Schizosaccharomyces pombe: one gene and its partner. Each later gene encodes a partner of the first gene's protein in a complex. Each region holds a gene or a part of one and is shown on either strand. Other genes may lie near its edges. The genes, in order: cox6 and cox5. A codon is read from its position in the direction of its gene.

Region 1 (10,310 bases):
ACGAGTGTATCAATTAGTGAACTTCACCCAGCAGTACTGGTCAGTTACATGGTTATGATGTATATTTCTGTTTATCCAGTTGCTATCAACATGAGAAATACCAATGTTTATGAGGAGCGATCTTTGGGTGTTTACAGAACTGAAGATGATGAGGGGAAATCTTTCTTAAAAGATCACCTTACTGAACAATTAAGTTACGATTTATGGTATATTTTTCTAGGGCTATTCATCATATGCATTTGTGAAGGAGGTAAAATCTCCAATCCTCTAGATACCGATTTCAGTATTTTTACTGTCCTTTTTGAAGTAGTCTCTGCTTACGGTACGGTGGGACTTAGTACTGGATTAAGCTCCTCAAATTGTTCACTTTCAGCAAGATTTACTACTATAAGTAAACTAGTTATTATAGCACTTGAACTGCGCGGTAGACATAGAGGTTTACCCAGGGCTGTTGATCGAGCCATCCTTCTTCCTTCTGAAAAAAATAATCTGAAAGAAGAAGAAGATTATCAACGTCGTCACGGATTTTCCATAGACAACGCACGTGGCAGTATTGCAGTTTCTCGAGACTGATATTTCTTATCACGATCATGTATTATATTTGTAAATTATATCATCTAATAAATAGTACGCTCGCTAAATTTCATACTCCTGATCGATACACCGTTTGTCCGCCATTTCTGAGTTGAATTGTTTCCTTCGACGAAAGAATTTGTAAAGCCATTTCTAACGCGTGTTGTGAATATCCATGCTAAAATTATGTTAGACTTAGATTTAATCAATAAACATACCCCATTTACGTATTCTCGTATAAGCATACGGTAACTCGCCTGAAACCCTATAGGTAACCTTTTTCTTAAGCTGGCTTCAATTTTTTTTACTTCCTCAGTAACTTCAGGCGAACTTTGTGTAGCAGCAGCAAGTGTACTGGTCAAAAACAGTCGAATCGCTTCAGTAGCGTGAGCTTCAGAAGCAATAGGTGATAATGACATTTTTGCAAGGGATTCAGTAATTCGTATGATTGCCTCTAATTGACGAACAGTGATTGGAATGGTAGAACGCGAGTTACTGTCCTGCTCTGACTGATGAACACGTTTTCGAATTGCGACAAATTGACTAGATAGCTTTTCAGCTGCCTCTGCATCAAGATTAGGTGCACATTTGCTAAATCCATTAGTAACTAATATTAAATTTGGTATACTTACTGTCTACAATAGTTTATGTACCGCCGAAACTTATCAAAAGGAATTTCTCCAATTGCTAAAGTCTCACTAGATTCTTGTAAATTGGTATGAAGATTAATAACGTGACGGGCAATATTTCGATCCTTTGTTTCATCATGTTCATCCTTAACAATAAATATCATGTCGAATCTTGAAAGAATCGTAGATTGAAAATCAATGTTTTCACCTGGTGTCTTCATATCATCGTATCGGCCAAAAATTGGATTAGCAGCAGCTAAAACGGATGTCCTAGAATTCAATATAGTAGTGATACCGGCTTTAGCTATTGAAATAGTTTGTTGCTCCATTGCTTCGTGAATAGCAACACGATCTTCATCCCTCATTTTATCAAATTCATCAATACAGACAATGCCACCATCAGCAAGAACCATTGCGCCACCTTCAAGGTAAAATTCTCTGGTAACTGAGTCTCTTTGAATAGAAGCAGTCAAACCAGCAGCACTTGAACCTTTACCGGAAGTATAAACAGCGATGGGGGCCAGTCGCTCAACGAATTTCAAAAATTGAGATTTCGCAGTACCAGGATCACCAAGAAGTAAAACATTAATGTCACCACGAAGGCGCATACCATCGGGGAGAATTTTTTTAGAACCTGAAAAAAGTAGGCATGCAATAGCTTTCTTGATGTCTACATTACCATAAATAGCGGGAGATATGCTGTTGGATATAATATCGTACAAATTCGGAGTACGAGAAATTTCAAGGAACTCCTCTTCTTCCTCTTCACTAAATAAAGGAGTAGATTTAGAGCCATCATTTGAATCCATTTGAATACCCACGACTCTGATATAAGGGTTCCGAATGGCCACGGCACCACTAGCTTTAACAGACTTATTTTGAAAAATAGAAAAAATGCCAGTAATAACGCAGCGGGTTCCCGGAGTAATTTGGTTAGTTAAATAGCGATCAGCATTCAATAATATATGACGAGGCAACTCACCGACAGGAACCATATCAGGAGCTTCCTGTAGTTTAAGCACCTGCTGATCGATAAAAGTCGATTTTGAATGATCAATAATGAAAGGATCCATCGGGCAGTCTTTTTTTTCACCATCGAGAACAGGAGCTTCACAAACTCTAGGAAGCTGAACACCTGAAAATCCACCAGAAATCTGTAAAATCCTGGTAGCCCTACAATTTCTGCATACTAAGTGCAAAGCAGTTGCACGGCAGGAAAGTGTTGAAGCACCGATGATGATACCAGGCACTCTAACCAGTTTTGAGATATGAGAAGCTGTCAGGTTACGGATTGGAAGGATGTTAGCATCGTAACGTAGAGTTACCTGGCAAGTGGGGATATTCGTAGAAGCATTTTCTTGACTTCTATAAAGTAGGCGTTTAGCAACTGTAGTGACAGCAGACTCAAACAGAGGTAGAATATCTGTCGGCTGACTCAGAAGCAAATGAGCTAGATCTTCGTTATAACTGATCAGGTGCCTAAGATCTATGTTCAACATGTATTGTTTTACCACGAGATTGTCTCTTAGTTGAGTACGATAGATAAAGTCATTGTCAATCACAAATTCTTCAATAAACTGTATGAAATTCTTCTCATGACTAACATTGGAATCTAATTCTTGCTCTCCTGGGAGAACTGGGGTATAATATACAGCACTCCGTTCCCAACCTGTTGCTGCAGCCATTATTGTGATGAAAAAGACTAAGGGGAATGAGTTAAAAAAAAATAAAAAAGCGAGATAAAAAAGATGATATGGTATAAAATAAAGGATGAAGCAAATTTCGCTGCTCTTCGAAAAAATAAAACAAAAATTAGAAAAGCTCTTCAAAACCTTTACAGAATGAGTTGCAAAAATGATATAAATATGTTCTTAAATTACATGTAACTGCAATAAATATTTTACGCGTGAAGAAACGAATGTAATGCTGTAAAATATATTATTGAACAACCTCTGTGGTGTTTGGTGAAAGGACTAATACATATTGCCCTTGCTGAAACGAACTTCAACTACACCCTTAAATCTTTTGTTAAAAGGAGATAGTCTGCTTACAATTTTTTTTTTAACATTTTAAGTAAACATGTATTAACTGCAAGCTATTTTCTACGTGAACAAAATGAAGATGTATATCGTTACAGATTCACTGCTATACTAGACTTAAAAAAGAAAAAGAGATAAGATTACTATAGCAATTCTGTTTGTATGAGAAATGGTATTGGCATTTTTATTTGATAATTTCTTAATCCTAAAGAAACATCATTGCGTGCGGACAGAAAAAAAGTGATGATAATCAAAATCAGTAAATCAGTTTTTTTAAAGTCCTTTGAAAAACGCAAATCATAGTTAAGCACCAAGAAAAGGAGAGTTGTGGTAAAGAGCTACAAATTTCAAAAGAAGAGGAGACAGATCAAGAAACTTAATCGGACTTACTTAAAAAGATCCTCCTTCAATACAATACCTAATTCATTGCAAACAGGCTTAAGCTCCTTAACATACGCTTGGTACTGTTCTTTGGTTGGTAGTTTCACTTTAATACCTTCGAAAATCCTTACGGCGGTAGGGAAATCGTTAACACGACGAGCAGCACGTAAAGCTTGTTCAATAACATCAGAAGAAGGCACGATATCGTAGGCAAAACAATTATTTAGGCCTCTTTGGAGCTCAAATTGATCCTGAACATTTGAAAAGAAATCGTTATACCTACGTAGTTAGTAAACAGTAAAACAAGAAATTTTAAATAAAGGAAAAGCAGAGCAGAGCAGAAGTAAGAATAAGCTTCCAAAGAAGGAAAAATGGTCAATTTTTCTTGTGTAAAAACTAAAAACGTGAAAACTGAGAAAAGAACAAAAAATAGCAGACAAATAAATAGCTATGAACGCTCATTTACTATCATTCTAGAGATGCTAAAATGAAAATATTCAAACCACTTTCAGTATTGGGTACTCAAAAGTCAATGATAAAACAGACTGCTTTCGTGTTCATTTTATTCTTTGCAGTTCCCAGCATTCCTATTTCCGCATTTGATAATAAAAGTGCTGAATGGAGTTACTTTTCAGGCATTGCAACATGCCGAACAATTACCTATTCCCTTATCGTCGTTTTTTTACATACTTTGTGTTTATTTCTTCCAAGGAAACCCCGTGGTTACTAGAAAAACGAACTTGTCTGTTTGCAGCTAAAAACCCAGCTTGAAAACGAACCGAGGGTCCTGCGGCGACAGAAAAGCGGCCAGTTTGAAAAATACGTTGAACTGCTTTCATTATAATGAATTAGAATTGCTTCTTGCTAAATAAAAGTGAAGGGGAGTGGAGAGTAGATGGAAGTAGTAGTACGCTAAGGTTTGTAATATATCAAGAAGCAAACAGTTTTCTAGTATAGACTATGTATTCAAGAAAAAAGCTATTCAGTTATATTAGAAGTAGGATGAAGAAAACCTAATGACTGTAATTTTATATAAATATGTTTTGCACTTGGTTGTGAGTAATCTGTACAGATCGATTATTGAGAGCCGTGTTTAAATGAAGATTTACGGCTCACAGACTAAGGGCATTCCATGTTATTGTAGCTTCTAAAGGTCTACTGCTATGAAATGATTTTCTTAGTTTTAAAGTATTTACTTGTTATGTAGAGTATTAGTTCGACATGGAATTTTCAAGCAAGCTCAATTAAACTGGAGTGTTTATACAAGACAGCTGTTTCATTAATTAGAGAAATATGACTTTTACTATGCTGTAGAATGAAAATTCTCATCTGTTTTATATTTAGCGGAAGACATTTTGCTGATAGATATTCATTTAAATAGTTATGTCAGAGATACAAATTCAAGTGAATTGAAACTCATGTTGGAGTTTTAGATGTACTTTCTATAGGCAGGTCTATTCGAAGGATTAAGCATTCTAGCTCCACTAATACTCTAGGAGTACCAAATGGAAGGAAAACATAATCCGAAAAAAAGTTCAATGAGAGATGTCGAAGGGCTACTCAATCAATTTTTGAAGCCATCGGTGATTGGTGAAGTGAATACTTTTCTTTTCACTTGTAATTGACTGCTACAAAAAAATTGTTGGACAATCTAACCTTTTTTATTAAGAGTGTGGATAACGTACGAAATTTTTAATATTCATATGCATTTTTTTTATTAACTTATCTCTTTTTCATATTACTTCTTTTTTCTAAAATTGCTTGGCTTTTGAATGTTTATGTCACCATCAATCTCACTCACTAGTAAGATTTTCTAATATCTACCAAAATTTATGGGAATCTTGAAAAACTGACTTTTAAAATTTCCATTCTTCAATAAACACTTTTACTAAAGCATCAGTTCAGCTACCCTTGTAAATGCCCAACCCATCTCTTTTCCGTCTTTTGTTTACTTTTGGGAATGCGTTACTTATCTGAGTAGCATGTGCTTTTTGTGGTAAAATTGGTTCAATTTAATTGGTAAAAAAAATAAAAAAATAACAATGTCACTTGGTTGGGCCAGTATAGGTAACGTAAATTTGTTGAACCGGAAAACGGAATGGAAAACAAAGTATGAAGAACTGAGGCAGTTGCAGGTATTTGTTTTGCAAATGTTAATAAATGAATTTTTTAAAGACATACTTTCACGGAAGGTGGAAAATTGAGAATCCACCTTTCGCCATTGATCTTATGATGAGGACCAATCGTGAAAACTAGTAGTCTATAATCGATCAAAATAATTGCGCACACACGTATCGTACAGCAGATGCTTTGCACGATCGCACATAGTCGTGCGAAAAAATAAGAAGAATAAGAAGAGCTTTTTGTAAAAGTTAGGAGTTCAGAGGGCTCCAAGATTTCACATTTTGGATGTGCTTTGGGCATCCATGGGTCAATACGTTTGTTTGACGATTGAGTAGAATGTAACTTGTTTGTTTACTTGCAGTGATTAGTTTTTTTTTGTGACCTGCCTTTCTTCAGTTCCATCGGAACGGACTAGTAAAAAAAAAAAAAAAAGAGGATGGCAAGATGCCGGGAAGGGCTGGTTATGTCAAATTATACACATATGGGATTTAAAATTTAGAAATTATAATTTTTAGAATATTTTAAAAAATATTTTAAAATTCAAACTCAAATATTTATTGTGTACATGTGTTGATTTCCTTGTCTTCTCAGCGGAGAATGGATCTAACCGGAGCACACATGTTGAAAATTCACCGACCCAGCATTGACCATCCATTTGGAGTGGACCTATGGTAAGCAAAGCGTAATTATGCATTAAAACTAACTTTGGAATAGGCATTTGTTTGAGCAACTGAGCATCAAAACTATAGGATGGAATCCCTCTGAATTTGAGTACATCCCGGGTAAAACTCCCATGTCTCAGTGGTCGAGCGTAATTGTATCCATTACCGCTTACTATGTTATCATTTTGAGTGGTCGAGCGATCATGACAAATCGCAAACCTTTGAAACAACGTCGTCTTTTTCAACTTCACAACTTCATTTTGACTATCATCAGTGGAGCTTTGCTTGCTTTGTTGGTAGAAGAGGTTTTTCGCAACTACATGCGTAACGGTCTCTTCTACTGCGTTTGCGATTCTCGTCATTTTACGCAGAGATTGGTTACCTTGTACTACCTCAATTACTTGACCAAGTACTTGGAGTTGATGGATACGGTGTTCTTGTTTTTGAAGAAGAAACCCCTTGCCTTTCTCCATTGCTACCACCATGGTATTACGGCTCTCTTGTGCTTTACTCAACTTCTCGGTCGCACCTCCGTCCAGTGGGGTGTTATTGGCTTGAACTTGTACGTTCATGTTATCATGTACAGTTACTACTTCCTTGCTGCTTGCGGCCGTAGAGTTTGGTGGAAGCAATGGGTTACCCGTGTTCAAATCATTCAGTTCGTCCTTGATCTCATCCTCTGCTACTTTGGTACCTACTCCCACATTGCTTTCCGTTACTTCCCTTGGCTTCCCCATGTCGGTGATTGTTCTGGTTCTCTCTTTGCCGCCTTCTTTGGTTGCGGTGTTCTTTCGTCCTATTTATTCCTCTTCATTGGTTTTTACATTAATACCTACATCAAGCGCGGTGCCAAAAAAAATCAAAGGAAAGCCGCCGGTAAGGCAGATAACACCTCTGTTGCTGCCGCTGCTGGCTCTGAAGCTTTAGCCGCTACCACTGCTACTAATGCTTCTCCCTTTTCTGCTCGCTCAAGGAAACTCTAATGGAGAGGAATGTGTACGGCGTGCAGACCCTTGTTTAGCTTTCTTTTGTATTTTCAAACTTTCTTAAGCGTAGTCCAATTTCATGGTACCGTCGTCATCTTTTTCACAAGGAAAAAAACTCAAAAGACGATACTTTGGGATTGAAATTGGAAAATATCATTTTTTCCAGCCATCTAAAAGTTCCTTGCTTTTGGTTTTTTTTATTTTACTCTTATGCACGGCTCTTCTAGGGTCGTCATTTCTTCTTTCTTTTTTACTTTCAGTTTTTTTTCTTTAAAAATTTAGATGGCGGATTTATTTCTTTGCTTGAAACGGTGGGAATGCATGGGTTTCAGCGTATGTCTGCTTCTGTTTAATATTTCTCTAATTCCTGAGACATAAATTGCAATTGGTTTATGGGGTGCTTTTTATCTTAATTTAGTTATTGCAAGCATCGATTTGTTACCCGTATGTCTATGGTCTTAATAGTATTTAAGACATCCTTTTAAAGAAAAATAGAAAGCGGGTTAAAATAGTCGTTTGCTTCTTTATGTGCCTTCGTTCTTCATTTCCCTTTTCTTTTGTGTATATTGGGTGACATTTCGACATCTTCAAGTTTCTGCGTTCTCTCTTTCTATTTACCATTCGATAATTAGGGATGCGTCGCGTTTCGAGTTCTTTTCCTTTCTGCCAAATATTTCCATTCTTTTTAACATCTTTTGTCTAGTTCGTGTGGTTTGCGTCTAGTTCAAAGTAATAATTTCTTGTTTCTAAAACAACCCCAATCTACTTGAACAAAAGTTAGTAAAGTTTGGACGGATATTTCAAGCTCGATGGAACGCTCCTTTTTCTACGTGTTCCTTTTTTCCTAACTTTCTACAAAGTTTTCTCATATTCTTTTACTTGTGAGTTTGATAGGCATTTACCTTAATGTACATATTATTATCGTCTATCATGTATTAATTGCTCGCGTAAACTTTGGTTTGTTGTTTCAGTGGATCAGAATGAGTTGAATGGCATTTGAAGGATGATCATTATATAAATATAGATATATATACTTATGTATGTGCTTTCAACAACTATTTGTGCATGTATTGAACCGACTTTGTATGGTCGTTTTTGAAGTGTTTTAGTTTTAAATTCTTGCTTTTAGTCATTGTGGAGATATAAGATTTGCATTTTTGTGTTTGACAATTTGAATTGAAATGTAAGTATAAAACATTTATTATTGGATTGTACGTCCAGTTATTGATTTTCATTTTCAAAGCAGGCGCACAGCAAACTTAACTGTTTGTTCTTGAGTTGTTACCAATTTTCATTAAGATAATTTAGTAGATTTTTTAATAATGTCTAGTGATTGTCGTAATAATATTTTGCAGAATTTGGTGTATAGTAACTTTTGGGTCCATTGCTTTCTGTGCGTATCATACCTTCAAGTTGGTGATACCTTACTATAAGCCATCACACTTTGGTACCAAAAAGTTTGTTAATTTACCAGAATTCAAAGGATTGATGAAGGTTAACGACTTCTTTTATTAATTTTTTATCCAAAGCTAAGCAATTTTTGAAATTATTTGCAGTTAAATCTATATATTGAATCATTCGTAAACGAGTTTGGAGAACTCATTTTGGAAAAGAGCAAGCATACAGCATGAATCCATACAGACCATATGTCGTGGTTAACAATGTTGAGCCTACTTTTTCGATAACTCCAGAACCAACGTTTGAGACGCAACCGACCATAAGCAAGAGTGAGATTTTTGAGACACTCAGAAGTATTCTAGTGACCAAATATTTAACGACGTTTTTTGTACAGCCATTGGAAGTAGCAAAAACTGTCTGTCAAGTAGAAGAATATTTACCAAAACGAACTAAAATTGAGCGTGATGGGAAACAAACAAAGGAGCCTTATGATGAGGATATTCCCGATGGCACAGAACAGGAAGGTCTCAGTGATGATGAACACGAAATCTATGCTTACTTTGAAACACCTACCACAGAAAAGGCAGTAACAGAACAGCTAGCTGAGAAACTTTGCGTCGATGCGTCTGGCTATGTAACTGATCCTTCGAATCTCATCGAGAGAAGCTATACAATTCATTCGAAAAGATTTTCGATTAAAAGTATCATTAGTGAGCTATGGGAGAAAGAAGGAGCTAGGGGTTTATGGAAAGGTCATACAATCAGCTTTTTGCATAACTTACTTTATTCCGGCCTACAGTCCTGGCTTTCGGCAACATTATCTGGAGCTCTCGCAATAGCAGATCCAAACATTATTTCACCTATAGATTCTGTTCGGCCTCTTCTTTCCCTTTTCATCAAATCCATTACTTCTGCGATCTCTGCTCTTATTCTATCTCCCCTTGATATTGCCAGAACAAAAATAATTCTTTTCCCCATTTCCTCATCTTCCTATTTGTCTTCAGCTTCTGAAACTTCTGGCAATTCGCATAAAAAATTTAAACCTCTTACTATCAGACAATGCTTGAAAGCATTGCCTTTTTACTGCCCTTCATCGTTAATTTTACCCACAGTTTGTTATGTCAGCTTACCACCATTTGTTTCGAGTGTGCTTCCACTAACATTCCGCAACTTTTTGGGCTCATCTCCTACACTTGATGCAATGGTTGGCTTGGGCACTTCAGCCGTTCAATTTCTTCTCAAATGCCCTTTAGAAATGGTACTTCGAAGAGCACAAGCCCAGTATGAATGCAACCTTCCACCCCAAACTATCGTTCCCGTAGGCAAATACACTGGTATCGTCGGTACCATATGGTGTCTTTTAAGCGAAGAAGATCCGGGTAAATTTGGAATAGAAGGTTTGTATCGTGGATGGCGAGTGGGTATTTGGGGAATGTCGAGTACCTTAGCATTGAACTACATCTCCTCTAATTTGCGTGAAGAAGTTGAATTTTAGTATTCAGGTTTTGGGTCTGATTG
Region 2 (8,414 bases), on another chromosome or scaffold:
TTGAGCCTGAATTTTTAAACGATGATGTTATTCGAGGTAATAAACGTAAAGCACTTCCTGCTTACGAATGTCCGGATTGCCAAAAGGTAAGAGTATTTTTGGCTTTTTTCCCTACTAATTGGTGTTTTAGTTCTATGAGTTACATGGTCCAGTCAAAGAAAGCAGCGTTGCGCCTACTTGGAATGACGAAAACCGCTTGGGTGGTGGCTCTTTACCCAATTGTAAGCATCAACCTTTGGTGCAAAAAGTAGGCCGGCATCGAAAATTAAACATCCCCAAACCTATTCCAAATGGTTTTTGGGAAAGTGATTTTGTAGATTAAAACTAAATAATGATTGTGAAACTTCATCCAATGACAACTTGTCTAAATAAATTGATACGCCAACCGTGTACATAGATGTATTCAGAGATCATTAGCATGAAGCTTACAACGTTACAATAAGCATTCGAACTTCGATTAGCGTTCACTACCCCAATTGTTAATCAACTACATTCAGCAAAGCAATGAATTTACGATTTACTATATTCCGGACTTATTCACGATAAGCTGAAATTTTCATTAGAAAGGGGGATAAATTAAAACTCGTTTTTAGAAATAAAAGAAGCGAATGTAGCAAAGTCAAACCTTCCAGTACCTGATAATGGTGGGTCCGACGAAGTAGCATCTTACCATGAAAGTCGAGTTAGGCTCAAGAAATAAAACAACTAAATAAATTTTCATTTGACTAAGCAAAAAGAAACCCAGATCATGCTGAAACTTTATTGAACTCAAAATGTGGGAATTTCTTATTTCTTGTCCTTTTCGGAGGGGGAGAAAATACCACCGGAAATTTGACCACGTCCCTTAAACCCTTCGCTAGCTTCACCACTAATAGGGTTGATCTTGTTCTCCTTCATGTACTCATTGGACTTCTCTTGCCATTCACGAGTCATGGTACGAGGAGAAGGAGCAGCTTGAGTGCGGATGAGACCAAACAATACGACACCGATCGTTAAACCAGCGACAGTTCCCCAAAAAACTGTCTTTTGACTAATGTGGCTGAAAGCACGAGGACCGTGTTCACCAAAAGCAATCCAATATGCGGCTTTCTTTTCCTCAATGGAGAGTGTCGTCCAGGGTTGTTTCTGACGAGCATACAAATCTGTGATAAGACCGTCTTTCTCCTCCTGAGACATAATACCCCAACGCTTGTCCAAATCAACCAAACGAGGACGAGCGATCATGGCCTCTCCGGAAGGCTGCTCTTTCTGCAAAGCGTTGGTAGCAGCAGCACTCACAGTAGCAGCATTGCGAGTGCAGAGAAGCTTCATTGGCACTTTTTTGCAGATAATTTTTGAAAGATACATAATTATTAGCTTAATTCAATAATTTAATGCTAAAAAGATCGAATTATAGAGAGAGGGGGAATTTGGGTGTGTAAGGAAGAAGGCCAACGCCAATCCTCGGGAGTCCCATTGGCACACTGTCGGAGAAATTAGGGTAGGGTTTAGCTTCGCATGCTGATTAAAGATCGAAAGTACGAAGGGTAAGTGAAATGTTTATGGTTAATTCTACTTTCTAATTTCTAGTCCTCCGTTTGAATTTGTAGAAAATAACTATGAAAGCTCATAGAGACGAAACGATACTAATGTGTTGCTTTGAATGAACGCGGAAGGATAAAAAAGTATTTACAAGAAAACAATCGGTAACTTTCTCAAATAGATTTTCTACTAAACCGTAATTCAGTATCGATGTCCTGTTGATCTAAACCAACCTACGCAATTTCGTTCCTCTAAACAGAAAAAAGCGGGCTCAAAAAGCCAGCTTTAAAACCAAAAGTGATTCCCTTTGATACTGTAAATAATACAAAAGAATCTATTGCTTTGCTATTAAAATCTAAAATTATTCAAACAAGGAAAAAATAAAACCCAATTATTTTGGCTCGCTTTTTCTAGTTTGCAACATGGTTTGACCTATAGATTGATACATTTTAAGTTATCCATGGTATTTCCATCTACTCCAACGACAAGTTACTGGGTATAGAGAGCCAAAGTCTTCTTCACCAATTTCTTCTCCCATTTGTCTTTCAAATCCGGCGGCGTCCATTCCCTTTTCAAACACACCTATTTCTTCCAAATGTGTTTCGCGAAGTGGATACTCTGTGATAACAATCCCGTCCTTAGCTAAATATTTACGAAACAGTGCAATGGCTAACTCGCCGAAATGAGTTTCATAGATACAATCACTTGCTATAATCCGTTGAAATGGTTTAATAAGCCATGATGGTCGGTTATCATCATCTGGGGGATTCATCCAATCTAATACATGACAGCTTACTGAACCCGCATATTGCTGGATAAGTTCAGAATTGTAATCAACGTTATACTGCATATTTTCTACTATATCTGGTAGATCTGTACATACAACTTGCCATCCTAATTGAATGGCTGCACTAATGCCAACAAGCCCAGTCCCAGCCCCTAATTCTAGCGCGTTAATGGAATTACTCAAATCTTCCCATTTGGGAAGATTTGCTGAAAGCAAGGGAGCAGACCCCCATGTTTTAAATCCTAAAGTATTATAGGTCATAGTGGGCTCTCGAAGAACTACAGAAACACCATTTGAAAGGGAAAATTCCCTCTTCCTAGTAGGAGCTGCAAGTCTACCACTACGCTCTGCAATTCGTTCACAAATCGTGCTAACCAAATAGTCTCGTTCCTCTTCAACTGTGATCCATTCCAAATTTGTAGCTAAGAGCTTGATAAGCCAATTGAGGATTATTTTCTCCTCATACTTAGGAAGGTCCCACAAGTGCTCCCCAGTAGGAATTTTGTCCAAAACATCTTTAATTTGAGAGTAAGAAGGCTGTTCGTGACTTAAAGGTAGATCCGTGTCTTCTAAAATCATTGTGATTTTTTTAAAATACCCAAAACCAGAGACGAAAAAGCAAAAACAAAAGAAATCCCAAAGACCCAAAAAAGACAGGAGTCAACCTGTTTTCCTTTGCAAACCAGCTAAATTTTAAACAAATGAGAATCCCAATTAACTACCTATGTGAGAGTATGCGTGAGAGACATACTATGATTAAGTATGGATAAAACGAAATTTCTCTCTTTACCATCCATGAGTCCAACTTTTCAAATTAGATCAAAGCTAGGTAACATGTACCTCGCAGGAGTGAAATCACGGTGTTGATCAAAAAGCAAGAAGCAATTTAAAAGCACTGGTTATTAAAGCATCTAATTTCTCAATTTCATTCTCACTCAACCGCCTATCCCAAAAATACAACTCAATTCCAATGGATGTATGTCTTTTCCAGACCGCGTTGTCTACACTGCGTGAAAAAAAGGAATAATGAGGAATATTGTGTCCCTATATGCAAATGCAATAGCCTTCTCAATGTACAATACGAAAATGTAATATATATTTTGTTATTTATTTTACCAAAGTTCTTTTGACTTTCGTTAAAAAGTATACTGAAAGAGAAAGAGCTAATAAATTGGCTAAGCAAGCAATGTGCACAACCGTTCTATTTAGATAAGCTGACCTACGTAATGCACATGGCGAATGCTATATAAACCAGCCTTTTCCCCTTTGCGCTCAATTCCTTCTTATCTGTACTACATAAGCTTGTTCATTTTTTGACAATTAAGTGAATTTTAAGTACAGCTAAAAAATCTGAAACGCTACTTTCCTTGTTTTTTTCGCCTTCGTTATTTCGCCATGAGTCAAAAGTCGTATATCGTTCAATTGAAAGATTCTGTTGATCCTGCATCGATGGATAAAATAAAATCTGATTTAGAGGCATCTGGTGCTAAAATTGGTCATACTTATGATACCGTATTTAAGGGATTCAGCGTTTCTCTTCCTGAGAATGCAGTAGATGCTTTGTCTGCTCATCCTGAAATTCAACATTTTGAGCCTGACCAAGAGATGCATACTATGAAGAAGGATTAGATTTCTCTCCTTACAGAAAGTTTCGCCTCCATATCAATTGCTTATAGTTGAGCTCGTCACTCGTCGCACGCATGCGTTTCTACACTCAAGTACTTTATGACATTTCATATACATCGTTATGATCAAACAAATACCAATTGTTAATTTGATGATTTTTTTTAGAATTAATTAGTAGGTCGGTCGCGTTTTACCATTTCTTTGTGTCGACCAATTCGACCGTAAAATAGTACACACATTTTTGTAATGTCTTAGTAATATTCGCTTCCCAGTAGTAACTTCCATAAAGATCTAGTTGTTTGGACGAGGAGAGGAATATTGGTACAGCAGTGGGAAATCGAGTAAAGGATTCAAGGTGAAAATAAATAAATAAAGAAAAAGAGAAGCAATTCTTAGAAGGGGGTATACATGAGTATGTTTTAGGTAGAACTGAGATGTTTAACATAGACTACCTTCTTTGTGAGTTGTTGTTTGGCCATCACATTGGTGACAAATATGCTGAAATTTCGAAAAACATGGATTTGTATTTAACAACGAGGCGTAGCAGAAAACCGTAAATTTTTAAAATACAGCTTTTGGAAATTGCTCTTCCATGACTTTTTATTACAGTTGTACTATAAGAATGAATGATTGCACAACAAAATATACTCTCCTATATTTCCTGCCTCACATCAAACATTTAAAGAACAACAGCGAACTCTCGCTATTAGAGTCTGCGATGTTGCGTTCTGTCAAATAATGATATTTATCGTCTCGTTAATTATTAGTTACTGGAATAGTATGATATCGTAAAGTTGACCATTTGCAATGCACTCAGTAACTCTTTTTTTAGTAGGAGTCAATTGTGCGGCATTTGGCAAGTTGAATGGGAGACGTTGCAAGGTTTACTAATTTATTTAAAAATTAATTAATTCGAAAATCAACTGACGACAACCCTTACTTTGGTTTCTTTCACTCTTACTTTGAGTTTTTTAATTGTTATTTTGCGCGGTTAATATTCACAACCTCGTAGATTTTTTGAGATAATTTGCGAACGCGTTTTAGTCTTTCTTTATTTAATGAGTGTACAATGGACATATCCATCAATGACTGCACTGATATCTCGCAAATTAAACAACGGTTTCATGACTTACAAGTCGAATCCCAACGAACCGACGAAAAGCTGGAAAGGCTGCTAAGCGATGCACAGCCGACTGAGAAGTTCAATTCTTTAATCAAGAATATGGCAGAACGTCTAGTGCTGTTTGTAGGTCAGATTGAAGAGCTTAAAGATGCTTTTTGCAATACCACTATCGTTAGCGAGGAGGTCATTGAGAGAATCAAATCGGTCGATAGAGAACAGAATCGTATAAAAGAGTGTCTTTTATTTGTTCGTCAAGTCCGAGATTTCAAAGAATGTTTGCAGGATCTCAACAGAGCTATGCATCACCAACAATGGGAAAAAGCAGCTGATTTAGTACATCGAGCAAGCTCCACATCGCCGGCTATCATCGAAGGGAAATTTGCACATGCCGTTGTTCCCACAGCTGAGCAACCTTTAGCGCCCATGGACACCTTAAAAGAAATCACCGAATCTCTACACACTCTCTTTTGGCGGGAATTCCATAAGGCCGCCCGAAATCAGGATCAAAAAGAAATCACTCGTTACTTCAAACTCTTCCCTTTGATCGGCAAAGAAAAGGAAGGATTAGAAGCTTATTGGCATTTTTTTGGTGGAATTATTGCTTCTAAAGCTAGGGCCACTCTCGATGAGCCCCCTACTCATGCTCTTTTTTTTGCACAGGCATTTACCGGACTGGTCGAGCATGTTGCTTCTATCATACGCGCACATACGCCTCTTGTTCAAAAATATTACAAGGCCAAAAACACCATCACCGTTATTGAAAAATTGCAAGGTGATTGTGATCGCCAAGGTTCCATTATCGTGAATACCATGTTTGACGTGAGAAGAATTGATAACCTCGTAAGCTCTATAGCTTCTTACAAATACATTTTGTTACATGCGAAGTTGAAAAATCGTGCCTTTGTTTCGGATCAAAAGGAATTAGAAAGGGTCTCTCTTCAAACGCTACATCCGATTTTGAATGAAATGTCAGCCATTGTCTCCAAATGGAATATCTCAAAAATATTTATTAGCCGTCTTGTCCTTCGATTGTCCCAATCTGATGGTACTTCGAATGATCCATCTGTCCAGGACAATCTTATTTGTGCATCTATTTTCAATTCTTCAAAGATGGAACTTCTGTTAAAAAAGCAACTTCTTCCATCCTTATTACAATTAGAAACATACTATTTCAGGAGAAGTATAGAAACGTCTTTGGAACTTGAGGAATATTACACAAAGGTTTCCCCATGGATGAGCTCTATTGTAGACGATGTCATGTACGTTACGAAGCAAGTATTCCAACGTGCGTTTTTTACAGTCTCCTCTTTATTCTTCACCAGATTTGTTAACGAAAGCTTAATCCCTATTTTAAGAAATGATTACTATGTCTACCTTTCCCATAATCTTTTAACTGTCTGTAACATTATAAAAGCTCAGTTCCAGAGGCTAAAGAATGCAAATAGCATTCCCGCCAAACAAGTCGAAAACTACATAACATTGGTAAATAGTGCTTCACTCAGCAAGCAATATCTAAAATCAATTGTGGATGGTGTTTCTAGTCGGTTGGAAGAAGTTTTTGCCTTTGCCAAAGACCAAAAATTGGTAAAGAAATCGATTGATAATTTTTTGCAGCTAACCGTTAATTTTGAAAATCTTTGCAAGACTTCTTTCAACATGTACTTTCCGATATTTTTATTACCCCGAATTGAGCAATGCATCGATGATTCCTTTGATGGAATCAACTATGTCTTGTCCTATGAAGACTATACGAAGGAGACAGAACATGAAAGACTGGTAGTTACCCGTCTTCGCAGCGTTTGGGACAGGGTTTTGTTGCTGGAGCAATTTACTCCTGAAAATCAGCTTTCTTTACGCTCTATGGCATGCGAGAAAGCTGCAAGTTATATAGAAAACCTCATACTATATAAGATTCAGTGGAATGATTATGGTGCTATGGCATTAGAAAACGACATTTCTAGCTTAATTACTATCTTTTCCAATGATCAAGCTAATCTCCGACATAGCTTTGAGCGTTTGCAAGAAATTCTAATCTTATTAGTATGGGAAAGTGATTCTACAGCCCCAGAGCAATTGATCAACGATTTAAACCTACAGCTACTATCCATAGATATTGTTAGCGCTATTATGGAAAAGAAAGCGAATGTTCAAGGTGAAGATTAACGACCTTTTTTATTCAGGATATTTGAAGAAGCACCAAAAGTTCTTTAGTTGTAATCTCCTGTCATATCCTAAATTTATCCTAAAAAACGGCGGATCATCGTCTCCACGTTTAGCATGATGCCGATATCTATTTTTTTTTCACTCTATTTTTGTTTTTATTTCTTTATTCGTATATTGAAAATTTTGACAACCGGCTACCCTGACGCAGTGCAACTCGATCATCATTTATCTTAGTTTATTATTTCTTCCACACTTTGATAAGTTTTCCGCTAAAAGTTGAAGCAACCCCTTTGTTAAAAAAATAATACAGGAATGGAGTTAATATTCATGACCAATTGTATATAGCATCAAATATCGACTCTTTTAATCTTTATTAGTTCTAATTTTTCTCGTGATCGGCCTTCTTAAATAAGTATTGTGATTATAATATACCGAGGCGCAAAGGAGTGTGATACAGTTTATATCGTTTAATTATGCAGTTTGCAATCAGTTTAATGAAGGTTAAAATTGCGATGAGTATTAGTTGTGACCTAGAATTCCAGTATACAGGTACAATAAGTAACATACACTGTCAATCTTCAGTTACATAGTATTATATTTTTCACCAATATAGCTAATAACTGAAATTGAGGATGCTTGTACAGTTATGCTTATATTGATAATTTTTTTAGCTGCTCAAATTTTAATAGTTTATTAAAAATAGTATGCCTTTACCATACAATATATAGCGAAAGATAAACAGACCATATGGCATGTATCGATATTTAACGCAGTATAGTATTAATAATATAACGCATTACAATTATGCCATAATATCGCTCTTTGAACATTAAGATACTTTACCTGTTGGTGTATTTTCTCGTGGTTTTTCTTTAACTTTTTCCCTTCCCTTACTACAATCATTTATCATGTCTTCATACATCTTGTTTGGTTTGGAAAACCCTCTGTTGGATTACTATGTTGGTGGTGAAACTGCAACTCTTGAAAAGTATGGCTTGAAGAGCAACGACGCCGTCTTAGCTTCTGAGAGCCAGATGGGTATCTACAAGGAGCCATGCGTTAGCTACAGTGCCGGTGGTGCAGCTCAAAACAGCTGCCGTGCTGCTCAATACGTACTTCCTCCTAACTCTACTGTTTTCGCCGGCTGCGTTGGTCAAGATAAGTTTGCTGATATGCTTCTTGAATCGAACGAAA

Evidence for each region.
Region 2: the proteins of cox6 (region 1) and cox5 are in contact, whole or in part, in a cryo-EM structure (PDB 8C8Q), measured with the Schizosaccharomyces pombe proteins. Residues at the interface, in NP_593931.1 of Schizosaccharomyces pombe: Ala90 (codon at 3,783), Arg91 (codon at 3,780), Asn94 (codon at 3,771), Asp95 (codon at 3,768), Phe96 (codon at 3,765), Pro97 (codon at 3,762), Thr98 (codon at 3,759), Ala99 (codon at 3,756), Val100 (codon at 3,753), Arg101 (codon at 3,750), Glu104 (codon at 3,741), Glu129 (codon at 3,666), Leu130 (codon at 3,663), Gly131 (codon at 3,660), Ile132 (codon at 3,657), Val133 (codon at 3,654), Lys135 (codon at 3,648), Leu138 (codon at 3,639), Phe139 (codon at 3,636); in NP_588158.2 of Schizosaccharomyces pombe: Gln74 (codon at 1,128), Lys75 (codon at 1,125), Gln76 (codon at 1,122), Pro77 (codon at 1,119), Trp78 (codon at 1,116), Thr79 (codon at 1,113), Ile83 (codon at 1,101), Lys86 (codon at 1,092), Lys87 (codon at 1,089), Ala89 (codon at 1,083), Tyr90 (codon at 1,080), Ala93 (codon at 1,071), Phe94 (codon at 1,068), Arg100 (codon at 1,050).

The regions. Positions count from the first base shown.
Region 1 is NC_003424.3:2,808,519-2,818,828, reverse strand, and holds cox6 (cytochrome c oxidase subunit VI), read right to left. Parts: upstream 4,537-10,310; 5' UTR 4,462-4,536; coding exon 4,313-4,461; exon of another isoform or gene 4,230-4,312; intron 4,077-4,229; exon of another isoform or gene 3,902-4,076; coding exon 3,628-3,901; 3' UTR 3,334-3,627; downstream 1-3,333. Other genes in the region: plasma membrane potassium ion transmembrane transporter Trk1, read left to right, coding at 1-573; MCM complex subunit Mcm5, read right to left, coding at 644-751, 792-1,164, 1,206-2,887; SPOM_SPAC1B2.06 (uncharacterized protein), read right to left, coding at 5,792-6,046; elo2 (putative GNS1/SUR4 family protein), read left to right, coding at 6,365-6,417, 6,461-7,391; transport protein Ugo1, read left to right, coding at 9,022-10,287. UniProt on the Schizosaccharomyces pombe protein: Component of the cytochrome c oxidase, the last enzyme in the mitochondrial electron transport chain which drives oxidative phosphorylation.
Region 2 is NC_003421.2:1,350,799-1,359,212, reverse strand, and holds cox5 (cytochrome c oxidase subunit V), read right to left. Parts: upstream 1,420-8,414; 5' UTR 1,348-1,419; coding exon 787-1,347; 3' UTR 501-786; downstream 1-500. Other genes in the region: ctp1 (CtIP family endonuclease), read left to right, coding at 1-86, 131-322; efm2 (methyltransferase Rrg1), read right to left, coding at 1,976-2,887; proteinase B inhibitor Pbi2, read left to right, coding at 3,704-3,937; COG complex subunit Cog4, read left to right, coding at 5,004-7,220; ado1 (adenosine kinase), read left to right, coding at 8,129-8,414. UniProt on the Schizosaccharomyces pombe protein: Component of the cytochrome c oxidase, the last enzyme in the mitochondrial electron transport chain which drives oxidative phosphorylation.